Linked DNA regions of Cricetulus griseus. The protein of the gene in region 1 binds, or shares a complex with, the protein of each later gene. Links are inferred from orthologs where the notes say so. Each region holds a gene or a part of one and is shown in the gene's direction. Other genes may lie near its edges. The genes, in order: Dlg4, Htr2c and protein shisa-6.

Evidence for each region.
Region 2: the proteins of Dlg4 (region 1) and Htr2c are in contact, whole or in part, in an NMR structure (PDB 2MHO), measured with the Rattus norvegicus proteins. The link is inferred for Cricetulus griseus from reciprocal best matches to the Homo sapiens genes DLG4 and HTR2C. Residues at the interface, in NP_062567.1 of Rattus norvegicus: Gly74, Leu75, Phe77, Ser78, Ile79, Ala80, Asn85, Pro86, His87, Ile88, Thr97, Lys98, His130, Val134, Leu137, Lys138; in NP_036897.2 of Rattus norvegicus: Val452, Val453, Ser454, Glu455, Arg456, Ile457, Ser459, Val460.
Region 3: Dlg4 (region 1) and protein shisa-6 share a complex: the UniProt entries of both Homo sapiens proteins name them as parts of the postsynaptic hippocampal AMPA-type glutamate receptor (AMPAR) complex. The link is inferred for Cricetulus griseus from reciprocal best matches to the Homo sapiens genes DLG4 and SHISA6.

The regions. Positions count from the first base shown.
Region 1 is NC_048600.1:83,878,921-83,882,568, forward strand, and holds part of Dlg4 (disks large homolog 4), read left to right. Parts: intron 1-229; coding exon 230-399; intron 400-514; coding exon 515-651; intron 652-762; coding exon 763-907; intron 908-3,648. UniProt on the Homo sapiens protein: Postsynaptic scaffolding protein that plays a critical role in synaptogenesis and synaptic plasticity by providing a platform for the postsynaptic clustering of crucial synaptic proteins.
Region 2 is NC_048604.1:34,136,600-34,140,090, reverse strand, and holds the end of Htr2c (5-hydroxytryptamine receptor 2C), read left to right. Parts: intron 1-2,016; coding exon 2,017-2,846; downstream 2,847-3,491. UniProt on the Homo sapiens protein: G-protein coupled receptor for 5-hydroxytryptamine (serotonin).
Region 3 is NC_048600.1:80,430,217-80,434,391, reverse strand, and holds the start of protein shisa-6, read left to right. Parts: upstream 1-1,286; coding exon 1,287-1,930; intron 1,931-4,175. UniProt on the Homo sapiens protein: Involved in maintenance of high-frequency synaptic transmission at hippocampal CA3-CA1 synapses.

The DNA.
Region 1 (3,648 bases):
TAATCTCAGCACTTGGGGGGCAGAGGCGGGTGGATCTCTGTGAGTTCGAGGCCAGCCTGGTCTACAGAGGGAGTTCCAGAACAGCCAGGAGAATTACTGTCTCAAAAAGAAAGAAAGAAAGAAAGAAAGAAAGAAAGAAAGAAAGAAAGAAAGGAAGAAAGCTAGTACCTGGAAAGGGAGGGCTGGGCAGTAGGAAACTCCTGGCTTAGACCTGTATTATTGTTCCCAGGGTCAATGACAGCATCCTTTTTGTGAATGAAGTGGATGTTCGGGAGGTGACCCATTCAGCTGCGGTAGAGGCCCTCAAAGAAGCAGGTTCCATCGTTCGTCTCTATGTCATGCGCCGGAAACCCCCAGCTGAGAAGGTCATGGAGATCAAGCTCATCAAAGGGCCTAAAGGTAGTGGTAACCCCATGTTAGCTCCCCTCCCCTCCTCACCATCCTGCTTCTCCCTGCCTCCAAGGCTTGCTCCCTGGGCCAATAGGCAGCCACTTCTCCCCTCCCTGCCATCCAGGACTTGGCTTCAGCATCGCAGGGGGTGTAGGGAACCAGCACATCCCTGGAGATAATAGCATCTACGTAACAAAGATCATCGAAGGAGGTGCTGCCCACAAGGATGGCAGGTTGCAGATTGGAGACAAGATCCTGGCGGTGAGGCCCTGAACTGTGTTTCTAGTAGAGACTCGGGTCTTATTGCAGGCCTGGGTGCCTCACTGCCTGACCATTTCTGGCTCTGTCTGAGCTTTGCTTCCCTTGACCCAGGTCAACAGTGTGGGGCTAGAGGACGTCATGCACGAGGACGCCGTGGCAGCCCTGAAGAACACATATGATGTTGTCTACCTAAAGGTGGCCAAGCCCAGCAATGCCTACCTGAGTGACAGCTATGCTCCCCCAGACATCACAACCTGTGAGAGCCCTCCAAATCTCAAAGCTCCTCATGATGCATCCTAATAGTTCCTAAGACATGCAGTCCCACGACAGCCCCTGTGGCCTATTTCTATGAAATGGCCATGACCTCTGATCCTTGTGGTGGTTGGAGAGGAGATGGAAAATCAACTATGGAGAAGGACTAAAAACGATTGTTGAGATCCTCTTGTCCAAGGGACACAAGGCCCACTTGGTTTTGTGGTTCTGATCAAATCCTTAAGTAACAGATAATTCTCACATTCTTTAAAAATTTAGGAAAAGAACCAGGCATGATGGTGCCTGCCTTTAATCCCAGTACTCAGGAGGCCGAGGCAGGTGGATCTCTGTGAGTTTGAGGCCAGCCTGGTATACAGAGCAAGTACCAGGACAGCCAGGACTACACACAAAAGCCCTGTTTGGATGCCCCCAAACACAACACAACACAACACAACACACACACACACACACACACACACACACACAGAGAGAAAAGAACCAGGTGTGATGGGACATACCTGCTTTTCCAGTACTTGGGAAATAGAGGCAGGAGTGGCAGGAGTTCAAGGCTATCCTGGGCTGCATAGCAAGGTAGCAAGTTTGAGGTCAGCCTGGGATACTTGAAACTGAGAGAAAGGGAGAAAGACAAAGGCTTCGTATTGCATGTTATAAGAGCAGTTCACATGGTCACAAAGATAACACAGAAGGAACAGAGAGGGCAGCTGTATGCCCAAATAGAGAGGCCTAAGTTTAGAACACCACAGTGGGTGTCCACACAAAGCAGTGGGACATTAAGAGGCTAACATCACAGAATAAGGTTTGTTTCAGAAAACCATAGTTGGCTCAATATTAGGAACCTTTTTATTCAATATATTAAAACTGCCAGGTGGTGGTGGTGCACGCCTTTAATCCCAGCACTTGGGAGGCCGAGGCAGGCGGGCCTCAGTGAGTTTAAGGCCAGCCTGGTCTATATAGAGTGAGTTCCAGGATGGTCAAGGCTACACAGGGAAACCCTGTCTCAAAAAATAAAAACAACAAGTAGGAAAGATGGGGATGGTGGCCCACACCTATAATCCCAGCATTCTGGGGCCAGGAGCAGGAGGATTGGAAATTCTGGGGCATCCTGGGCTACATAGTGAGATGAGACCCTATGGAAGGAAAGAAAGTTAGAAAATCAAGGATAGATATGAAAATCCATTGATGATACTAAACATCTGTCCTCAAACCAACCTTTAGTAAACCCAGGAGTAGAGTTTGTGTGACCTGGGGAGTAGTTACTAGCAACCAGCAGCAGATGCTTCATATTAGTAAATCCCAGCGATGTGTCCACCCCTCTAGGAGTTAGACAAGGCTACCTCTTAACTGCTGTTCCTCTTCATCGCTTTCAGCAGTTTCTCCATGTTGTGCCGCTATTACTTATCAACGGGAAACTCAGTTCTGGAATTTCCAGTAATTAAGAAAGTCACTGGCTGGCCTCGGGAGGCAGAGGCAGAGGCAGGTGGATCTCTGTGAGTTCAATACCAGCCTGGTCTACAAGAGCTAGTTCCAGGACAGCCTCCAAAGCCACAGAGAAACCCTGTCTCGAAAAGAAAAAGAAAATCACTTATTTTATCTTGCAAAGTAAGAAAGAAAGAAAGAAAGAACTCCTCAGAGGGCTCCATTTCCTTCCTTGCTCTTTTAAAGACAGGGTCTTTATATGTAGCCCCAGCTATTCCTTATGGAGGCAAGGCTGGCTTTGAACTTGTGGTAATTCACTGGTCTCATCCTCCTCAATATTGGGGTTACAGATGTGTGTCACCATACTTGGCTTTAGAATTTTTATTTATAGGTATCTTTTTGTTGTTGTTTTTTCAAGACAAGTTACTCTGTAGACCAGGCTGGCTTTGAGCTCAGAGATCTCCTTGCCTCTGCCTCCTAAGTACTGGGATTAAAGATGGGTACCATCATGCCTGGCCCCATTATACTAAATCTTTTTTAAAAAATTAGAGGGGGAAATCAGTTTATTTATTCATTTGTGTGTATTTGTGTGAGTATGGGTATGCTGTGGTGTGTGTATGTGTAGGTCAAAGGACAACGTGTGGAAGCCTGTTCTCTCCTTCTACCATGTAGGTTCTGGGGTTTAAACACAGGGTATCAAACATAGCAAGTATCTTTACCTGTCCAGCTATCTCACCCCCCCCCCCCCCCCCCGTCTTTTTTGAGGCAAGGTGGTGCTGGGATTTCAGGCCTATGCTGCCATGTCCAGCCAAGCTTCTTTCCTTCCTTTCTCTTCCTCCTCTTTCTTCTTTTTTTTTTTCTTTGTGGTACTGGGGCTTTAACCTTAGCCCTTGAACATGCTAAGCAGCTGTCTGTAACAGCTATATCCTGCCCCAGCTATGCTACAAATTCTTGTTATTGTACATGTCGGGTCTTGAACTAGTACTGTTGCCTCAGCTAAGGAGTGCTGGGATTACAGGAGTGAAGCATTACACTTGGTGTGGTCACATTATTATTTTTCTTTTTCTTTTCTGTTTTGAAACAATCACTGTGTAGCCCTGGCTGGCTTGGACCTCACAGAGATCCACTTGCCTCTGCCTAAGGGCTGGAATTAAAGGTGTGAGCCACCATGTCTGGCTATATTCTTAACCACCCCCCCCAAATTTTTTCCTTTCCTTTTTTTTAAAAATTTTTTTTGTTTGTTTGTTTTTTGTTTTTTGAGACAAGGTTTCTTAGTGTAATAGCCCTGGCTGTCCTGGAACTCGCTCT
Region 2 (3,491 bases), on another chromosome or scaffold:
GATGACCCATGTTCAGTTCTGGAAAATCGCTGTCTTAACATAGGCATTCTATGGCATGCAGGACACAAACACAGAGAGGGGGAAACAATTGGCCTCATAGACTCAAATACATCATAGTTGTCATTGCCCCAGCCCCCTATTGTCTCTTGACTTGGCTTTCCTTAGATTCCTTAGGAAGGAGAAAAATCTGTTAACCTAAGTTCACAGTTCTCCAGAGCTGGGCTCTGAAAGATGCTAATGTGCACCGATCTTGTAGCCAGTGTACGATGCCTTGCTAGGCACTTCAGGTGACTCTCAGAAGGTCTCAAAGATTACACAAGCATTTCAGTGACAAGTTGGAGCTTCATGTCCAGGTATTCTTTATAGCCATGCCTGTAGAAGGATAACAAACTTCTCAGAGGAGTCTCCAGCCTCAAGATCTCGCCCCTGAAGTTCTGGGCAGCAGATGAGGCAGGGACTGGAGAGGGACTACTTTACTTGCACCCTCTGATGCTCTTACTAAAAGCTTCTGGGAAGATGTACAAATTTTCTTTCAGATTTTTCTCATAAAATGACCTTCTTCCCTGGGACCATAGCAAAGACCTGAGTGTTTCTACCCAAGCCCAAATTTTTGTTTGAAAAAGTGTAGTTTAAAAGGTGTCTCCAACTTTATATACCCCTCACTACTTCCACCTCACACATACCAGAAATTCAATGTCTGAAGAAAATACTTAACATCTTCCAAACACTCCCTTTCTTATCTTCCAAGAGATTAAATACTAATCAATGTTATTTGTGTTTTTCTTTTTTGATCATTCAGTCTAATACATTGCAGCTGACAAGCAGTACTTATGTCAATTAGTATGGCCTTGAGGTATTAAGTTCCTCATAGTTCCTAATGTGCTCACCAGTTAACTACCATCTTTGAGGGAGCACTTATACTTCCTCTCCCGTTTTGCAATGCAGATATCCAGCAGCCCATAATGCCACTAGCCTATGATAGACTCTCACAGACACAATCTGAGTTTGCCAAGGCTTTAACTTCTTGATGCAGAGAGGAAAAATGAATATGAAAATTCCCTTGGCAAATTGTCCCTATGTGTTGAGGGAAGAATATCTTTATGGTCTACCATAGTGAGTTCTTACAGTTCTCAGAAGGTTTCAGCATAAGATCACAGTCTGCCCCTTGCCTTTCTGCTGATATTTCCTGCCCCGAATCCAATTTATTTTTAGGGCTGATCACTTGTCAATACCCATAGGAGTAAAAAAATTCTGTCTCTCTGTCTCTATCTGTCTCCCGCCTCTCCCTCCCCCTTCCTCCTTCGCTCCCACCATCCTCTTTCCCTTTCTTCCTCCTTCCCCACTGTAATACCTTGAAGATACATCGTCAGCCTCATTCTGTTTCTTGACCTTGAAACCATGTTGCTGATGCTCAAGCACACAAATACATACACATGTACACACACACACACACACACACACACACACACACACACACACACACACCCTTGCCAAAAAGAAAAATGAATTACTTGCTTCTGTTCACAGGTTAGTTTTTGCACAATGGTGAAATACAATCCATTCATCCCTCCCAGGCTATTGTAGATGGTGTACTACAATTGTTACTGCACTTGAGTAACAGTATACTAAAAAAAATCAATGACTGGACTTAATGATATTACTGAGGACAAATGTGAAGCTACTTCGTGGCTTAATAAATAGTTATTAAGCACTTTGCACGAGCCAGGACAGTTCTGGGCACTGCACATGGAACAAAATGGAATCAGAGCACTCCTAGACATAATCTCCAATAGTTTGTCTCAAACATGGAGATTCTACACTGCTACAGCAATTCATGGAAAGCCATCATCTTCTGTTGGAAGTTCTATGAGCTTCCTGGTATGCCGTGAATAGCTTTCAACAAACATCATGTCTAAATGCCTTTTGGTAAAATGCTAATGAATGACTGTGCTACTGTACAAACCTGCCCAATCATTACGCATGCTGTAACGACTTCTCACCTTTTTGTTTCCCTAGGTGTTTCAGTTCCTATCCCTGTGATTGGACTGAGGGACGAAAGCAAAGTGTTCGTGAACAACACCACCTGCGTGCTCAACGACCCGAACTTCGTTCTCATCGGGTCCTTCGTGGCATTCTTCATCCCGTTGACGATTATGGTGATCACCTACTTTCTAACGATTTACGTCCTACGCCGTCAAACTCTGATGCTACTTCGAGGCCACACCATAGAGGACCTGCCTAAAATCAGCCTGAACTTCCTGAAGTGCTGCTGCAAGAAGAACGCTGGTGATGAAGAGAACACTGAGAATCCCAATCCAGATCAGAAGCCGCGTCGAAAGAAGAAAGAAAAGCGTCCTCGAGGCACCATGCAAGCTATCAACAACGAGAAGAAAGCTTCCAAAGTCCTTGGCATTGTATTCTTTGTTTTTCTGATCATGTGGTGCCCGTTTTTCATCACTAATATCCTGTCTGTTCTTTGCGAGAAGTCCTGTAACCACAAGCTGATGGAGAAGCTTCTCAATGTGTTTGTTTGGATTGGCTATGTGTGTTCAGGCATCAATCCTCTGGTGTACACTCTCTTCAACAAAGTGTACCGAAGGGCTTTCTCTAAATATTTGCGCTGCGATTATAAGCCAGACAAAAAGCCTCCTATCCGACCAATTCCTAGGGTTGCTGCCACTGCTTTGTCTGGGAGGGAGCTCAATGTTAATGTTTATCGGCATACCAATGAACGTGTGGCTAAGAAAGCTAATGACCCTGAGCCTGGCATAGAGATGCAGGTGGAGAATTTAGAGCTGCCAGTCGATCCCTCCAATGTGGTCAGCGAGAGGATTAGTAGTGTGTAAGCAAGAGCAGCCTTCCTACAGGAAAGCTCTTGTAGGAAAGATTCCCCCCTTGATTTTCCCTATGGATCATAACTAATGTAAATACTGCTGTGTGACAAAACAGTGTTTTTATAAAATAGCTTTGCAAACCTGTACTTTAAAATCATGCGCTAACAGTGAGATTTGAAGTTCTATATTTACTGTTTATGATAGATGGAGACTAAGTTATTTTGATTCCTTGCTGAATAATAGTGTTTGTTTCTCTCTCCCGTCCTTCCTTATTCCATCCCCTCCTTGCTCCTTCTTTGCTTTCTTCCTCCCTATCTCTGTTTCGTTTGTGAATGTGGAAATGTTGATGTTCATCTCAGGTGGCATTTGCAGGAGACCAGAATGATGCACATGACTGTGGTGATACTTCAAACCACACCTAAATTGACAGATTCAGTGGCATCTTTTCCAGGTTAACAGTAAATATGTGCTTTAAATTCTCGCTCTGCTCATCTACACATATAAATACAGTAAGATAGGTTCTGCCCATTGTGAAAAAACATCCATCAGTGAGTCAGAGACAGAATTTAACTTTGTCGTCACACATCGGGGAAAATTTGACATTGTCAGAATGTTGTGTCAGTTTTTTGCTGCAATGTCTGTCCCCAAACATAGTGG
Region 3 (4,175 bases), about 3.4 Mb from region 1:
GTCACCCAGAGCTGCAGTTATCTCATACCTGCATGCGAGATGAAGGAGAAAAGAACCTAGGTTCAGGGCACTTGGTGGCCCAAGAGCCACTTGACCCCTGGCCTCAGTGTAGGAACCTGTAGCAATGGGTTTGACCTTTTATCTTGCCTACGAGCATCACCACTAGGGAGAGGCAGAGGCTTGCAGAAACCCCAACTTGCTGTCTAGCAGCGCAAAGACCAGGCTAAGGTAAGGGGAGGGGGGCGGGTGGTACTTGACCAGGAGGGCTGGAAGGGCAATGTCAGAGGACATCTGACCCTACCACCGGCCGGCTCCAGAGAGCTCACTCTGGTCTTGCTTTGGGGTATTAGAAGTGGGTAGCAGGGGGAGCTCCCTTTCTGCCAGCTCAGTGCACGGTGTTGGTTCGGGCTTTGGTAATGCCGAGCTTCGAGAGAGGGGGGAAGAGGCAAAGAGGAGTCCTGCCGTCCCCCACCCGGGCGCCCAGGCGTGGAAACGTGGGCGGCGGCGAGCGGCTGGCCTCCCTCCCCGCCCTCCCCGCGCGGCGCTCCCGCGTGTGCTGCTGTGTGAGTGCGTGTGTCTCCCTCTCGCCTATCGCACACGCTCCGGCACTAGTGCAGGCGGCTCCCGGATCCGCTCGGCTCGCTGGTTCGTTCGCTCGCTCGCTCCGGCCGCTGCGCTCCCGCCTAGCCGCCGCTGCAGTCGCAGCTGGGCACGGTGAGTGACTGAGGTGTAGCCGCCGCGCTCCCCGACTGCCCTTCGGACCCCAGCCTCAGCAGGCTGCACCGCACGGGCTCTCCGTGCACCCTCGGGCCACCGTCCCAGCCAGGACGCACTCCTCGAGGGCTGCGCACTCCTTCCCCGCTCGGCTACCCGCCGCTCCCTGCACCCCGTGACCGCTGCCCCGTTTCGTCCCGCAGGACCTGCCCGGACGGGACCACGCCGCGCCGCCGCCGCCACCTCCGGAAACTGCGCTTCGGGGCCGGCCTGAACTGAGCCGCGCGGGGGCCGCCGCTGCCGCGGGCGGGGATGGGCTGTCCGCCAGGCGCGCGGAACCCGCAGGGGGAGCGCGGAGCCGGCGCGCAGCCTGAGAGCCCCGCGCAGCCTGCGCCCCGCTGCTCCGTGCGCTCCCGCCGCCACCCGCGCCTCGATGGCGCCATCGCCCCGCCGCTGACCGGCCCGCGTCGCTCGCCCAGCCAGCCCGCGCGGCCGCCCTCGGAGTCCCGCCAGCCGCTGGGGCAGCGGCCTGCAGCCCGCGTCCCGCCCGCGCCCTCCCGCCCGGCCCCGCCATGGCGCTGCGCGCCTCCTGCTACCGCCCTCTGCTGCTGTCGCTGCTGCTGTCGCTCTCGTCCCTGCACCTGCGCCCGGCGCAGCCGCCGCCGCGCGCCGCGCCGCTAACCGACCCTAGGCGCGGAGCCGTCGGGGGTCGGCGTTCCGGAGGCGCCCTAGCCCGCGGCGGCCGCGAGCTGAACAGCACCGCCCGGGCGTCCGGCGTCCCGGAGGCGGGCAGCCGGCGGGACAGTCCGCGCAGCGCGGCGGCAGCGGCGGCCAGCGCGACCGTCACTTATGAGACGTGCTGGGGCTACTACGACGTGAGCGGCCAGTACGACAAGGAGTTCGAGTGTAACAATAGCGAGAGCGGCTACCTGTACTGCTGCGGCACCTGCTACTACCGCTTCTGCTGCAAGAAGCGCCACGAGAAGCTGGACCAGCGCCAGTGTACCAACTACCAAAGCCCAGTATGGGTGCAGACGCCCAGCACCAAGGTGGTGTCGCCGGGGCCCGAGAACAAGTACGACCCGGAGAAGGACAAGACCAACTTCACCGTCTACATCACCTGCGGGGTGATCGCCTTCGTCATCGTAGCGGGCGTCTTCGCCAAGGTCTCCTATGACAAGGCCCACCGCCCGCCGCGAGAGATGAACATCCACAGGTGAGAGGCGATGCTGGGTGCCTGCCTCGGGTCCCCAGGCCTCACCCCCTCTTAACACACACCACCCCTAGTCCTCTTCATGCACACCTCTTCTATTCTTCTAAGTCACTTCCAGAGTCGCTTCCTCTAAGAGCAATAAATCTTGTGGCTCTCCCGCATTCCGTAGGAAGCTGCTAGGCATGCTCTAGCTTGAGAGGGATTTGCAAGACAAAAGTCTGAATCAATGGAGTTCGTGGTGTTCAAGGATAAGAATTTAACCAATTTTCCAATCTCCGGGCTCTCCTTTTCATGGTGTGTGGCCACTTTACTATGGGTTGTACCACGCTTAGGTCTTTGTTTGTTTGTTTGAGCTGGAGTGCCACCTTAATATAAAGAACCGAGCAGTGTGAGCACCTCACTGAAAGGAAGATCATGTGCGTGACTGTAAGCCTAGATGTTCCCAGGGATTAAGAGCGGGATGATATGGAAAGGGTAGCTGGCTCTCCTGGGAAGAAGGATCCCCATGTCGTGTTGATCAATGGCAGATGGTATATATGTCTCCCAATGGAGTGCTTATCTTTCCTGCTAAGGCTAGAGGACTTGGTCCTCCAAGGCAGGCCTCTCTGAGTTAACACTTTGGATGGTGTTCAGCCCAGTCGGGCATCTTTTACTGCACACATGATAAAGACAGTGGGGACTGTCCCCTTTCAAAATTTATAACAGGAGTTTAAAACATGACACTCCACAGTTCCACTCCAATTGCCTCCCACCCCTGTCTCTGCCTCCCAGGGAGATCACTGGAAAGTCAAAGCCACAACAGGAACCCAGTCTCTCCTTTAGGAATTGTACAGGCAGAGGATGCGAAGTCAGCTATGATGAGTCCAGTGTCCCCATGAAGATGAATGGTTGGCTTCAATGAAAGCCCAGCCCCAGGAAACACTTCCATTTCTGGCACACAGAGTGGGCACTGCCCTAGTTCCCAGGCCCAGCCCCCAGTCTACTGCTTGTGAGTTGACCCACCAAGCCTTGCCTGGCTCATACACCTTGCTTATTATCCTCATGGCTTGAAAACCTCCTCCCTTCACTGCTCTGAACATTAATCACTCCTACCTTGCTGAAAAGAGGAAGGCAGGTAGAAATTTCTAGGCATGCTGGAGGAGCTCAGTCTGCCCTCCCCCTCAATAATGTGGGTGTGAGAAGATGATATTCCCTGTCAGGTTTTATTGACTCAAATCCACTAAATACAGGCATTTCACACTCAACTACTAGACTTCGGTTGACTATAGAGGGAGCATCCCCTTTTAACCCCTCATTCCCCGAGCTAGCCACTCTTCTTTAGCTGCTCTCGGCATAGGCTTACTCAGCATCCCCATGGACTTGAGCTAGGAATATGAGCAATGGCCTGTGGTCTCCATGCCTCACTATGCAGATGATGGGCACCATGAGCAAGATAAGAACAAGATGCTACCACTTCCAAGGGGTTCATTTGATTTGACAGTGAATTCTCTCTTGGCTCAGCTTGGAACTCAAAGAAGGAATTGCTCAGGGGCAGGTGCCTTTTTGAAGCAGATGATCTGTTGTTCCTCATCTATCACCTCTGACCCAGGACTCAGGGGCTCATCTCCTCTTGCCTCATCAAACCCACCCTGGCTCTTAACCTCTTTCTAGTTGATTCTCACAAACCTTTCTTGGGGGTTCTCCCTGTCCTGCTCCCAGTGCCTTGTGCAGTTTGTTCAACATCACCTGTGTTTGATAAGGTTGTGGCCTCAGAGTCTGAGATTGAGTCCCCTTGGAAACCAACATTGTCATGTTGCTCGGGGAAGCCACTGTTCTTGATATTAATCTCTTTTTCCCCACAGACTGCCTCTGTCCAACATTGGGGTAACCATGGTGGCACTGTTGGGGCCGTTTCTGGAGTGGGAGAAGGAGAGAGTGAACAGTGGGGAAAGAACTGAATTTCAGGCCCCAGACCATTATGTAAATAGGTGATGTCTCTCCCTCAAATTCACCTCCTGATTTCATTCAGTTCACAGCACCTCTCCAGCAGCTGCAGCCTTGCCTGATCAGTGCTTTGGAAACCATCACACTGGTACTGGGTGGGTAGGGGACAATGCCTATCACTGGAAGTGTAGTGGGTGGGAAGGATGAGCTGGAGATGAGAGATGAGTGACATTCACAGTGATGAGTGACACTTAAGGACACTCAAGAGTAACCTTGAGCACATCAGGGAAAGTCTTTTTCAGCTCTGGGTAACTGGCAAGATGGC